4 linked regions of the Arabidopsis thaliana genome follow. The protein of the gene in region 3 interacts with the protein of the main gene of each other region in a pairwise test. Each region holds a gene or a part of one and is shown on either strand. Other genes may lie near its edges.

What was found.
Region 1: the proteins of AGL52 (region 3) and AGL55 interact in a two-hybrid assay, tested with the Arabidopsis thaliana proteins (one large-scale study listed by BioGRID).
Region 2: the proteins of AGL52 (region 3) and AGL39 interact in a two-hybrid assay, tested with the Arabidopsis thaliana proteins (one large-scale study listed by BioGRID).
Region 4: the proteins of AGL52 (region 3) and AGL56 interact in a two-hybrid assay, tested with the Arabidopsis thaliana proteins (one large-scale study listed by BioGRID).

The regions. Positions count from the first base shown.
Region 1 is NC_003070.9:22,429,134-22,432,103, forward strand, and holds AGL55 (AGAMOUS-like 55), read right to left. Parts: upstream 1,229-2,970; 5' UTR 1,135-1,228; coding exon 559-1,134; downstream 1-558.
Region 2 is NC_003076.8:9,544,681-9,548,085, reverse strand, and holds AGL39 (AGAMOUS-like 39), read right to left. Parts: upstream 1,540-3,405; 5' UTR 1,454-1,539; coding exon 533-1,453; downstream 1-532.
Region 3 is NC_003075.7:6,847,597-6,851,097, forward strand, and holds AGL52 (AGAMOUS-like 52), read left to right. Parts: upstream 1-1,981; coding exon 1,982-2,971; downstream 2,972-3,501. Other genes in the region: TOPP7 (Calcineurin-like metallo-phosphoesterase superfamily protein), read left to right, coding at 387-946, 1,123-1,335, 1,419-1,436.
Region 4 is NC_003070.9:22,409,987-22,412,717, reverse strand, and holds AGL56 (AGAMOUS-like-56), read right to left. Parts: upstream 1,144-2,731; coding exon 538-1,143; downstream 1-537. Other genes in the region: AT1G60890 (Phosphatidylinositol-4-phosphate 5-kinase family protein), read left to right, coding at 1-266; MEE9 (maternal effect embryo arrest 9), read right to left, coding at 2,491-2,731.

The sequences.
Region 1 (2,970 bases), on a different chromosome or scaffold from region 3:
TCTAGAGATAAGAATAGTTACATGTCTTAGAATGAAACATTCCCTGCGATCTAATGGATAAGTTTATGGATAGGTTTAGTTACGATTATAGCAGCAATAATATATGGGAAAACTAGCTTCATGGACACAGAGACCAGCACTCATCTTCAAAAGAACACAACATGAGTTTCTCAAATCCTCTTTCTCTATCTCCAGTGGAATTACACACTACTGTACCAAGCCACCACGAGGCCGAGACAGAGCCAACAGAGTTCGAGAAGAATCAGAAACGGTACAAAGACCTAATCGCCACCTTTCTTCATACCAAAGGCTGGACAACTGACTTGTTTGCTAATAAAATCGACAATGAACCTTTCTTTTGTTATTTAATTAAATGTATTTCAGTCTCAATCAAACTGAACAAAATTTTGGTTTTATATTAGTAGCTTTTTTTTTTCCCAAACCAAAACACCGAAAAAATCCAAAAAATAATAATGCACAGCTAGATTAGATAATAGCCTAAATAAACAAGACATGATGATTAAGTAAGTTGGTTAAATCAAAGGATCAATGTTGAAATCAGTAATAACGATCATCAATGTGTAGATTATCCACTACGTTCTTTAACAAACTTGCAGAAGCGGAAGTTTCACCTTCGAGTTTGGTAATTTGATTTGTGTCTTTGTAGCCAAGCTGAAGAACCTCCTCATCCTCCTGATGAATCACTAAACTTCCATCTCTTTGATTGCTCTTCACGGCATCATCTAATCGTAGCCTCACATTGTTCAACATCCTCGAAACCGCATCGACTGCCTCTTTCAACTCGTCGACGTTCTCCAATCTGTCAAAGGCTTGGTCTTCCCACCAAAACCCTAACCCTGATCTGTTATCTTGGTTTGTGGGAAGAGATGGATGCTGATTGTGAAGGAGAGAGGAGACAACGTGATCGACAGAGGAATGACCGAAAGAGTAGAAAGAAGCATGGGAGTGGGAAGAAAGAGGAGTTGCTAAGATTGCGATTTGAGTCCCCGGAGAGAGGAGACAGAGCTCTGAAGCTTTGTGGAAGAGTCCGCTTTTGCGTTTTGTGAAAGCAACTGCTCTCACGTTCTTATCTTCGATTCTCTTCATCTCTATCTTTCTTTTTGTGCCTCCCATATTGAAACTTCAAAGGAAGAAAGCCAAATTACAGACAGAGATTGTTTGAAACTTGTAGAAAGCTAATTACACAGAAAGACAGAGATTGTTTTCATCGTCCTCTCTTTATACTAGTGTACTCTCTTCCCATATCTCAACTTTTTACATTATTGATTCATTCTCTATTAAGAAAATTTCCATAATGGGTTGTTTCCTTTTGTTTTTTTTTGGCAAAGGGGTTGTTTCCTAAGATTACCTTTTTTTGGAACTATTTTGGTAAAATACATAAGAGTACTACTCTTTTCTACTTGTTTTTCCTTTTTTTATGTTCACATTCTCTCATATGCCAAAACCCTAACCTTAGAGACGGTTTCTTGCGCGACAAGAGACACTCTATATCGTCTCTTTCCTCTGTTTGTCGAGTGGCTAAGATGCGATTATGGACAGAGGAGTCGTTGAAACTAATATTTGGTAGAGGTTATTAAATAGTTCGCAGTGGAGACATTTAGGGGTCGTGAATTGAGATTATAAGATAACCCATTGAAACTAGGGTTTTGCAATTACACAAATTTAAATATGAGGAAAATTTGACACGTGATACCGAAAGGATGATTTGAATTGCATGAGTATATAAATAGTTGCAGAATATGACATATTAACAATAGTTCATGGGACATGGTGGATTAGGTGTAAAGGTTTATTTAACCTAACCCTAAATCACACCCCGGTATGGGCAAATATGTTGCTTGACAGATGGTATTGAATTACTATTTTTGCAAATGTAAATGATTTCTATAGCTTCTTAATTTTTTAGTTTGTTTGGGTCCTTTAAAGTTTATGAACGTGTTATTTTTTGTTCTTCACTACCTTTTTGTGAGACTGACTCGCACTCCAATCGGGATCATCATCTTCTGCTACATTCGGATTAACGTTCTCGTCTCTTCTCCTCTTCCCTGAACCGGGACGGGTTTTGTAGTGGTCGTTGATGGTTGAATCTATGGTTTCCAATAACCGATCTCCGTATTTGCTCACCTTGGCTCTGTTTAGAGTTTAAAACACCAAAATCCCCCGAGTTTTCTTCATACCTTTGGTTATACAAAGAGAGAGAGTAGCGTTCAAAAAGCTTCAAGATACTTACTTTCCTAGACCATTGATATCAAGGAGTTCCTCTTTGGTTCTGGGAAGTCGTTTACTTATCTCTTTAAGCGTCGCATTGCTATAAACACACAAGGATTTTTCTATTACTTATGATCTGAGAAAGAAACTGAAAATATCATTAAATGGATCGTCAACTTACCCGAATATATGATATGCCATGACTAAATCTGGCGATTCTTTGACAATATCAGTCCGAAGATTTTTCAAGGCTGTCAACAAAATGCCGGAGAGATTCTAGACCGACATTGAGAAAAAATAAGCAGCCTTTAGCAATTTAGAGTGGTGGTTTTTAATCTTTGAGCAATAGATAGAAACAAGGATACAAGAAGATATACCGAATCTTGTGGGGCAGCTTTTGCCATTGGAAGGGTAGTTTGCTTAAGTGGAACTTTTGCTGGATTTGCTGTGGATTTGCTCTGCTTTGACACTTTTATGGTCGAAGGAAATCTGTAAGAGATATGCAAGTCTTAGCTAAAACTAACCTTTTTCAAAACGAATAAACATATAACCAACTCTATTAGCTCGCTCAAGAATATAGAACTACTGAAGAGCAGCAATAACATTGCAGTAAGAACAGGTAGATTTCAGAACATTTCCCAACGTTTGAGCTACTAATGACATCAATTTGGTTGCAAGTAGTTTATGTGAACATAAAAGAAAGATATATCTCGAGTGTAAAGTCAAACCTCATTGTTATAC
Region 2 (3,405 bases), on a different chromosome or scaffold from region 3:
AAAACAGAGTTTGATCTGCTAATTTTAATATACAAATTGTAAAATATATGATTACCTTAAAGAAACTATAAAATTAATTACTAATTCGAAAAATGATTATAGTTACTTTTTTAATAAAATGTTGGTATAAATATGTTCATCTAATCTACGTTACATACATAATCTTAAATTAATCTCAAGTACTCTGTTCAAAGTTCAAACACATCACCTAACAAGATGACCATTAAGGAATCAAAAAGTGTTCAGCTAAAGGCTAAAACTCATGTAAAATTACAAGCAAAAGCTCCAAAAACTGTGTTCTTCTTTTCTGAGAATCCAAATTCAAATCACTAACTTGAATTTAACATCAACAAACTAGTAAGTGGAATTGCAAAACTGATTCAAACAATTTACTTTCAACTTCGAAAGGGTTCACATCAGAGTATCAAACAATAAAGGAAAAAAGGTTTACAAAAACTTAAATTGGATCAAGAATCTCTGTTTACAATGAGACAAAATCAGAACAAGTTCTGAAGATTACAACCACATCATATCAGACATGACGTCTAAAGTCGGAATCTCCGAAGTTGATCATTGCATTGGTGTTATCGAGACCGAAGTAGCTGTTTAGACCAAACACATCATCGTTGGATAGATCATTCCAAAAGCAGATCTCATCATCCAAATTGACATTGGCCTCTGTTTGTGTTTCTTGTAGTAGTAGATTGATTTGGTTAATCTCTTCCTCTGTTTCAAATCCTTGGATCTCGGAGCTAGGGTTTTGATCAAAAGAAGCAACTTGTGAAGATGATTCTCCACAGATCTGATAGAGAGAGGAGTAACAGTCCTGATCAAAAGACGGAGACGAGAGGTTAGGGTTTTGATCGCCATGGAAAGAAGAAAAGGTTTGATCGCTGCAATACTCGTTGACAGAGTTTGGAGTAAAAGTAGAAGCAATTTGCGAATAAGAAGATCCATCACAATCCTCGACGTCGAGAGAACAAGTACTATTAGGGTTTTGGTCGAAACTAGAAACAAGTTGAGATTTTTCTTCCTTCTCAAGGCAAGCCATCACATGCTTCTTCATTCTCTGTAAACGATCCTCGATAATGCTTAACTCAGAGAGATCATCACACGAATGGTAGAGATCAGGGTCTTCCCACCAAAATCCTAGTTTGGATCCGGCCGGGTTAACAATCTTGGGTGGAGGCTTGCGATTTAGGTAACAATCAGCGATTTCGTAGGCAGAGGAGTAACCGGAGAAGGAATAGACAACATCGGAACTATCGGAGGGAGAGGTTACGAAGACGGCGATGTTAGCACCGGAGATAAGACAGAGATCGGCGGCTTTGGAAAAAACAGTTTGACGGCGTTTAGAGCAAGTCACGGCTCGTTGCTCTTTGGTTTCTCGTTTCTTTATTTCGATTTTGCGCTTTGTTCCTTTCTTCATCATCGTGGAATCAGATGAAGGCATAATGTTTCTTACGGAGAGACAAATAGACACAGAGAAAAAGTGAAAAGAGAGAGTAGAAGCAAGATAGATATATTACCCATATTTATAGATGTAATAGCCGCCTGAGTTATATATGTCAAACTTAATTAGGTCTTGTTGTTTTCCTTTTACTGCCCAACTTTATTTCTATGCATTTAACGTTTTTTTTCTTTCCTACTAAAACGTTTTAGAGATTTCTTTTATTACAACAATAGCAGAAAAAAATTATTACTACTATAAACAATTAAACATATATATTGGATATTCAAAATTATCTAAATATTAGATTTTAACCCGCGTTATACCGTAGAAATAATTTATTTTTTTAAATCAGTATATATAAAAGTTTGCAAATTATATCTATCTATAAAATAAAAATATTTTATAGTTTACAATTGTTATTAAGTAACGTTCTTTCAAACCCGTTCCGCCAAACTCGTCCCGTAAAAAAACCCAGTGGTACACCGTTAATTTAAATATATAATTAAAATAAATATTTTACGGGATTGCAATTGTATTTTAGTTTGTCAAACAAATTTTTTTAAAAATATTTGTCGAAATCTAATTCAAATTTTGGAGAAATTAGATTTAGTGAATTGATAAGAAATGTATTTAGGTGCATTTTGCTCATTTTAAGGGATTGCAATTGTATTTTGGTTTGTCAAACATTTTTTGTTTTAAATAGTTACCGAAATTTAGTTCAATTTTGGAGAAATCTGCGTGATATATGGGATTAGAATATATTTGGAATTTTTTTTGCTTGTTAATTAATTTATTGCAAAAAAAACAATAATTAAAAGCTAGTGGCAGCCATTATAAATAAGTTCCAACTCTAAGATTTATTTCACAAAATGGCGGCAAAAATGTATATGTAGATTTAGTTACCTATAATCAATGTTCAAAAAATCGTTGTACGGTAGCTAGACGTTCGATAGATGTCTAGGCTATTTTTTTGAACATTACCTATAATAAGTACATAAAACACTATATATTAAACTTTTTCGCGGCAACTAAATCTAATAATACTAAATCAACAGTCACTTTTAAAAAAACTGTAAGCTTCTCATTTTGACACGTATGCTTTAAGTCTAAAATTTTGCACTTCCACAATCGTAAACCAATTCACTTCCTTTTACTATTCAATAGAATATTCTTTTTTGACAAAAGATAAATTTAAATTTTTTTAACCACTTTTTCAGCAACTACTTCTTCCACGTTATTAAGATTCTTTACTTTCTCTCCCATCTTTCAAACCCTCTGCCAGTTAATTTACGATCTCAAGAGCAACCGTATAAGCCATTCTCAAGAAGATAAAAACAGGTTTAAATTCTTCTTCTTCTTTCCTTTCTCATAATCTTAGATCCTCCATTCTTTCATCTAAATACGTCTACCAGAGAAACGAAAGAATGACGTAAATAATGAAAGTTGAGACTTTTGTGATACCTAATGTGATGGACGCTGTTAACCCCTCACGACTCACTGAGTTTGGTCCACCCAATCGCTGGTATGAATATCAATAAACCTTTGGCCGTTTTGTTGCGTTTTACTTGGTCTTATCTTCTTACATTTTCCATGCACACCCGCTGCTACAAAATGACCACATGAGTTTGCGAGAATCATATAGAAACAAAATGGATGCAAATGTTTTGGGGCTTTCAATTCAGAAAAAGAAGAAGAAGAAGAAGAAGATAACCAAATTGAGAGATGGGTGGCATGACATGACATCTTCTTCCACGGTGTAGTGTGCAAAATAATTTAAATGTGAAACCATCTTATATGTTCAAGTTTAGAAAAGCGTTTTGGTTAGAAGGTAATTCATTTCTCCATCATTATTATTGTTAAGTTTTTTGAGAAGAAAAAACGGCTCTGTATATATATATATATTTTTTTCTATATATCTATGAGATAAGTTAGTGTATTTATGTAAGATTATT
Region 3 (3,501 bases):
ATTTTTTGATGTAAGGGTTTAGCTTTGTAAGTTTGTTGTTTGGGAAGCTTAAAGCTTAGATTTTTGGGATATAAGTGTACATTGAAATGGTTGAAGATGTGTATGTTGTGAATTAGTTAAATGCTCTGCCACTTTAAGTTAGTGTTTCTTGCGGAATTGTGAGTAGTGACCTCTTACTTTTGTGTCTTTGAGGAACCATGGTCCCTTAGCTCTGTTGCATAAGCAGTTGTTGGTATCTCGCTTGACTTATTACTTCATTTGATAGCTAATAGTTTTGTTTAGTTGCTGAATTTGGTGTATGATAGATATTAAACCCTTCTGTTGCTATCATAACTGTATGATTTGTAATTTTGTTGATGGTTTTAAGTTTATATGTTGATGAGCAGGAGATGTTCATGGTCAGTTTCCAGACCTCTTGCGGTTGTTTGAGTATGGTGGTTATCCACCAGCTGCGAACTACTTGTTTCTTGGGGATTATGTTGATCGTGGTAAGCAGAGCATAGAGACGATATGCCTTCTTCTTGCCTATAAGGTCAAATACAAGTTCAACTTCTTTCTTCTCAGAGGCAATCACGAATGTGCTTCAATCAACCGTGTATATGGATTCTACGATGAATGCAAAAGAAGATATAATGTTCGCTTATGGAAAACATTCACCGAGTGCTTCAACTGTCTGCCTGTTTCTGCTCTCATTGATGATAAGATCCTCTGCATGCATGGTGGACTATCGCCTGATATTAAGAGCTTAGATGACATCAGGAGAATTCCTCGTCCTATTGACGTTCCTGATCAGGGCATTCTTTGTGATTTGTTGTGGGCTGATCCTGACAGAGAGATTCAAGGCTGGGGGGAGAATGACAGAGGTGTCTCTTATACATTTGGGGCTGACAAAGTAGCTGAGTTCCTTCAAACTCATGACCTTGATCTTATATGCCGAGCTCATCAGGTAAAGCTAAAATTTATTCCTTGAGTTCTCTCTTTTGATTTCTCTGGATTGGTTTGTTCTTCTCTGTGACTGTTCTCTGAATTCAGAGGGTTAAGAAATCATAACTCAGTTGTTAATGCAAGGATCTGTAGTTTTTTCACCAAGCCAAGTTTTACTTAACTATACTGTTCCTGCAGGTTGTAGAAGATGGATACGAGTTCTTTGCAAAGAGACAACTAGTGACAATATTCTCTGCACCCAATTACTGTGGCGAGTTTGACAATGCTGGTGCATTGATGAGTGTTGATGATAGCTTAACATGTTCATTCCAAATCCTTAAGGCATCTGAGAAGAAAGGAAGATTTGGATTCAACAACAATGTTCCTAGACCAGGAACCCCACCTCATAAGGTGTGAAAATACTATCCCCCTGTATATAGATGCAATGTAGGTAGATGTTAGATATCAGGTTTGATATGTTAACATTCTTGCAGGGTGGAAAAGGTCGTTAACTCGTCGTCGATGGGTTCAAGAAACGAGTGAAACCGACGGGTTCGAATTTTGTAAGGCAAACAGTTTGTTTTGTTAGATTGTTATCTGTTTTCTTATGGTTGAGGCAACATTATGTTTTGTTTAGATTTTTTTTGTAAAAATTGTGGAAGATGTTCACAGCATTTTCAACTGAAGAAAGTTGGGTTTTATACAACTAACCTTTTAGAAACATATTCTAAAAACATAAACGTAAAATTTATAAAAATAATAAAATGAAACTTGAAAAACAATTATCTTATTTGACGTAATATATACTATAAGCTAAATAATAAGAGAAGAGGTAACCTAGATTTGAGGATAGATACTGCTTTTATCTTCTTCACGCGTCGCCGACGCGTATGCTTGTTCCCGTAGGCACCAAGGCAATCTATATAAACATATTGAGTGAAGTTTCACAATCTTTCACCATCAATTCCACAATTCTGCTTCTTCTTTGTGTGTTATCTCTCTGTCGGAGAAAAAAAAAACCCTAGTTTCTTGCTTGGCGAATCAAGGCAAAATCACGATGAAGCAAGCTTCTTCTTCTTCGTCATGTAATCCAACAAGTTTAACAAACAGACTTAAAACAATCTTTAAGAAAGCAGAAGAGCTTTCGATTCTCTGTGCTATTGACGTTTGCGTCATCTATTACGGACCAGACGGTGATCTGAGAACATGGCCTAAGGATAGAGAGACAGTGAAAAATATGGCTTTGAGGTATAAAGAGGACAGAAAACGCAAGAAGTGCCTCAATCTTCATGAGTTCCTCGAGAAAGAGAAGGTGAAGGACAAAGACAAGTATAAGGGGAAGACGAATTATGTGAAGAACCCTAATTGGTATCCAAACTTTGATCATTACTCTCCTCAACAACTCTCTCAATTGATTCAGTCCTTAGAACGAACACTTTCTACTCTCCAAAAAAGGCTTCGTATTGTTGAGTCGCAGAAAAAACAGAACACAAACTTGGTGCATCAGAGTTTAACACCATCGTATCTGAACCAGACACAACACTTGGATCCTAGCAAGTTCTCGCTGTATATGTACAACCATGGAGATGCTACTCTCTCACAACTCCCACTGTCTGCTTCACAATCCAATCAACTCATCAATTACCAGATGCAGCATGGTTTTGGTCAGAACATGTGTTTGGACAACATCACCAACAACAACAACTTTCAACATCCTGGCGTGTCAAACACACAAGACTACTCACCGTTACTTTCGGCGAATAACTACGGGTTGAATAATCACTTGATGCAGCAACAGGATCAGCTTCATGGTTTTGATCAGAACTTGTGTATGATGAGTGAAATCATCAATAACAACAACGGTTTACAACATCCTAATCTCTCAAACACTGTTCCACATGAATTCCCTTATGGTAACACTAGCTTCTCTCAAGATATGTTTTCGAGCTATGATGGGAGCAGTTTGCTACAGACATCTTCTCTGCCACCTCTCCACAACATTCCTAACAGCTATTGTTTTTCTGACAACTCAAGACTTCTCTGCTAACAAATCTGTCCAAAAGGATTTGTTTTTTGAAGCTTCATTAAGAGTCAGTCAATACTTATAAGTAGGAAGCTGATCAGAGAGAGATTGAAGCTGTTTTTGCTTCTGAATTCTTCCTGCTACTGTCTTTTTTTATTTTACAGTGTTGTTATAACTGTAAAACAGATCCATTTGTGGAGATTTTGTTTTTACTTTTAAGTTGGTATTTCAGTTAGTATTATATATATATATATATATATATATATGAACTTCCATAAAAGTCTTTCACAAAAACTTGCATGAAACAAATTATAATCTAAAATCACTTATGGTGACAAGACTGTTTCAATTGGTTGATACAACCTGCAAAGTGAAATCCTTTACTCTTGCATCTTATAACAAACTTGTAACTTAGTATCCTTCTTGTCTGAATCAGCTAATATATACATGAAGATGGAAAGTAGCTCTGATTTCGTGAAGACAAATTCTCTGCACCCAATTACTGTGGCGAGTTTGACAATGCTGGTGCATTGATGAGTGTTGATGATAGCTTA
Region 4 (2,731 bases), on a different chromosome or scaffold from region 3:
TAGGAGTGAACATGCCAGCTCAAGCCCACCACAAACTCGGCCAAGACAACGAGGAATCAGGAACGGTCGAGCTCTTTGAAGTATATGATGTGGTTGTATACATGGGCATCATTGACATCCTCCAAGAGTACAACATGAAGAAGAAAGTGGAACATACTTGCAAATCTATGAAATATGATCCAATGACAATTTCAGCCATCGAGCCTACACTTTACTCTAAACGATTCATCGATTTCCTCCTTAAGGTATTCCCAGAAAAAGCATAGAGAGAGAGAGATATCAACGGACCATTGATCTTCCTAAAGATGAAAGGTTCCATGATTTGACTCGACCGATAATATTCTTTCCTGTTCATAAGCCATAAAAAGACTCTGAGGGATTTGGCTCGTAATCTTCTTTCGCCCTTATGTACACTAACATTTAGGATCTTATATACTTGAAAAAGTTTTCGTATATTATTATTATTGAGTAGATTTGTGCCACTCTTAAAATCCAAACAAGTGCATCAGTAATAGATTAGATGATAAAATAAGTTGATCAAAACAAAGGATCAATACCAGTATAAAAATCATCATCAAAGTGAAGAATATCATCCTCGTTCTCTAACCAACTTGCAGAACCAGAAGTTTCGCCGCCTTCAAATTCGTGAGTTTGATTCGTCTTTGTCTCGTCGTTGCGAGTCTGAAGAACTTCCTCCTCCTGATGATGAAGAATCTCTAAACCTCCATCTCTTTGAGTACTCTTCACGGCATCATTTAATCGGCATCTCACATTGTTCAACATCCTCGAAACAGCATCGACCGCCTCTTTTAACTCCTCAACGTTCTCCGATACGTCAAAACGTTTGTCTTCCCACCAAAACCCTAACCCTGACCTGTTGTCTTGGTTTGCCGTAAGAGGAGGATGGTCATAAAGCAGAGAGGAGACAACGTTATCGACAGAGGAATGACCGAAAGAGTAGAAAGAAGCGTGAGATTTGGAAGTCATAGGAGCCGCTAAGATTGCGATTTGAGTGGCTGGAGAGAGGAGACAAAGCTGTGAAGCTTTGCGGAAGAGACCTTCCCTGCGTTTTGTGAAAGCAACCGTTTTTGCGGGTTTGTTTATGATCTTCTTAATCTCAATCTTTGTTTTTTTGCCTCCCATGTTGAAACACTTGCAAGAAAGAAACCCCAATTACACAGACAGACAGACAGAGATTCTTCTCTTTATAGTACATTTTATTTATTCTTCATAATTAATTGCATGTTCCCCATTATTGGTCTTATTCCATATTCGGAGAATTTCCATAATCTGAGATGTTTTTTAATATTACCTTTCTTTAACTATTTTCCTAAAATCTCTTAGCAAAAAATTAGAAAAAAAAATACACAAAGGTAGAGAACTCTTTTCCTTTCTTTTGTGGTGTTCTTAATGAACTAATATATTTACTTTCCCGTGGAGGAAAAAAGTAAAACAAACAAATCTAATTTTATTTGGTTCACTTTTTGGAGCGAAGATAATTTTTTTTACAGTATTGTAAACCCAAATCCAAAACCTCTTGCATTACCGCATTTATTCCATGACCCATCTGCGAAAACCCTAACCCTAGAGATAATTTCTTGCGGGCCAAGAAATATGGTATCTGATGAACAGAGGAGCGTCGAAGACGGATAGTTTGCCAACGCAGTCTTGGTCGGAGATTATATAAATAGTTCGCGGTGGAGACATTTTAGGCATTGTTGTTAATTTGTTAATCATTTGGTGTTAATGAATGATCTTTTCTTTTGGTGAGTATTGTGATACGCACCATTTTAGAGTAAAAATAATTTGTATACTGTAATCAATATACAGTATATTTGGGATTATAAGGAAGTCGTAAAATGTGGTACTAGTTTATTGGTTTGATGGAACATAAGCGTGTTTCTGCTTTTCCATAAGCGCCATATGTAAACATTTTGGAGAGATAAAGCTTCGAGAGATCAGCCGAAATGGCACATTTTTTTGTCGAAACCGAAAGGGCACTTAAACGGTGGTTTATAGTTGATTTTCGTTCGTTGTCTCAATTCTGATCTATGTGTCGATTCTATGACAAATTTGTCACTAAATCACCCAAACTTTAATGCTTCCGCATAATAGAATAACAACATCACATACATATCTTTCTTTCTAAAACCGAATGACGCATATTTTTTATGTAATTTTTTCGTACTTTTAGGTGTCCCACCAATTTTTTTTTTTTTTTTTCTGTTCTACCATCAAACCAATAAACTAGTACCACATTTTACGACTTCCTATAATCCCATAAATATATATTGATTACAAATTACAGATACATAAACTAGAAACTACCTATAATTCATAATTCTTCGGCAATAGTAAGTAGTAACCCATATGTTTATCAAAGGAAATAATTATTCATTAAAATGTTCTTGACCTACTAATCCTATAACATGGGGACCAATACTTTGACAATCATCGTCATCTTATCATATTCATCATCATCATCATCGATCAAGATGGATGAACCTTATTTCCAGCTGCAGTCTTCCAAGCTGATCTCATAGACGCGGCGGCTGATCCCATCGCCGCCGCAATATGTCGTTTCGCGGCAACTGTCGCCGCTTTCTCCATTAAATTCCCCGTTCTCCGAGCAGTCTCCGCTTTCTCCTCAAGCTCTTTCAGCTCCGCCGCCTCCATCCTCTCCATCTCCTCCAACGTCCGCCTATACTCCTCCATCCCCCACTCCATATCC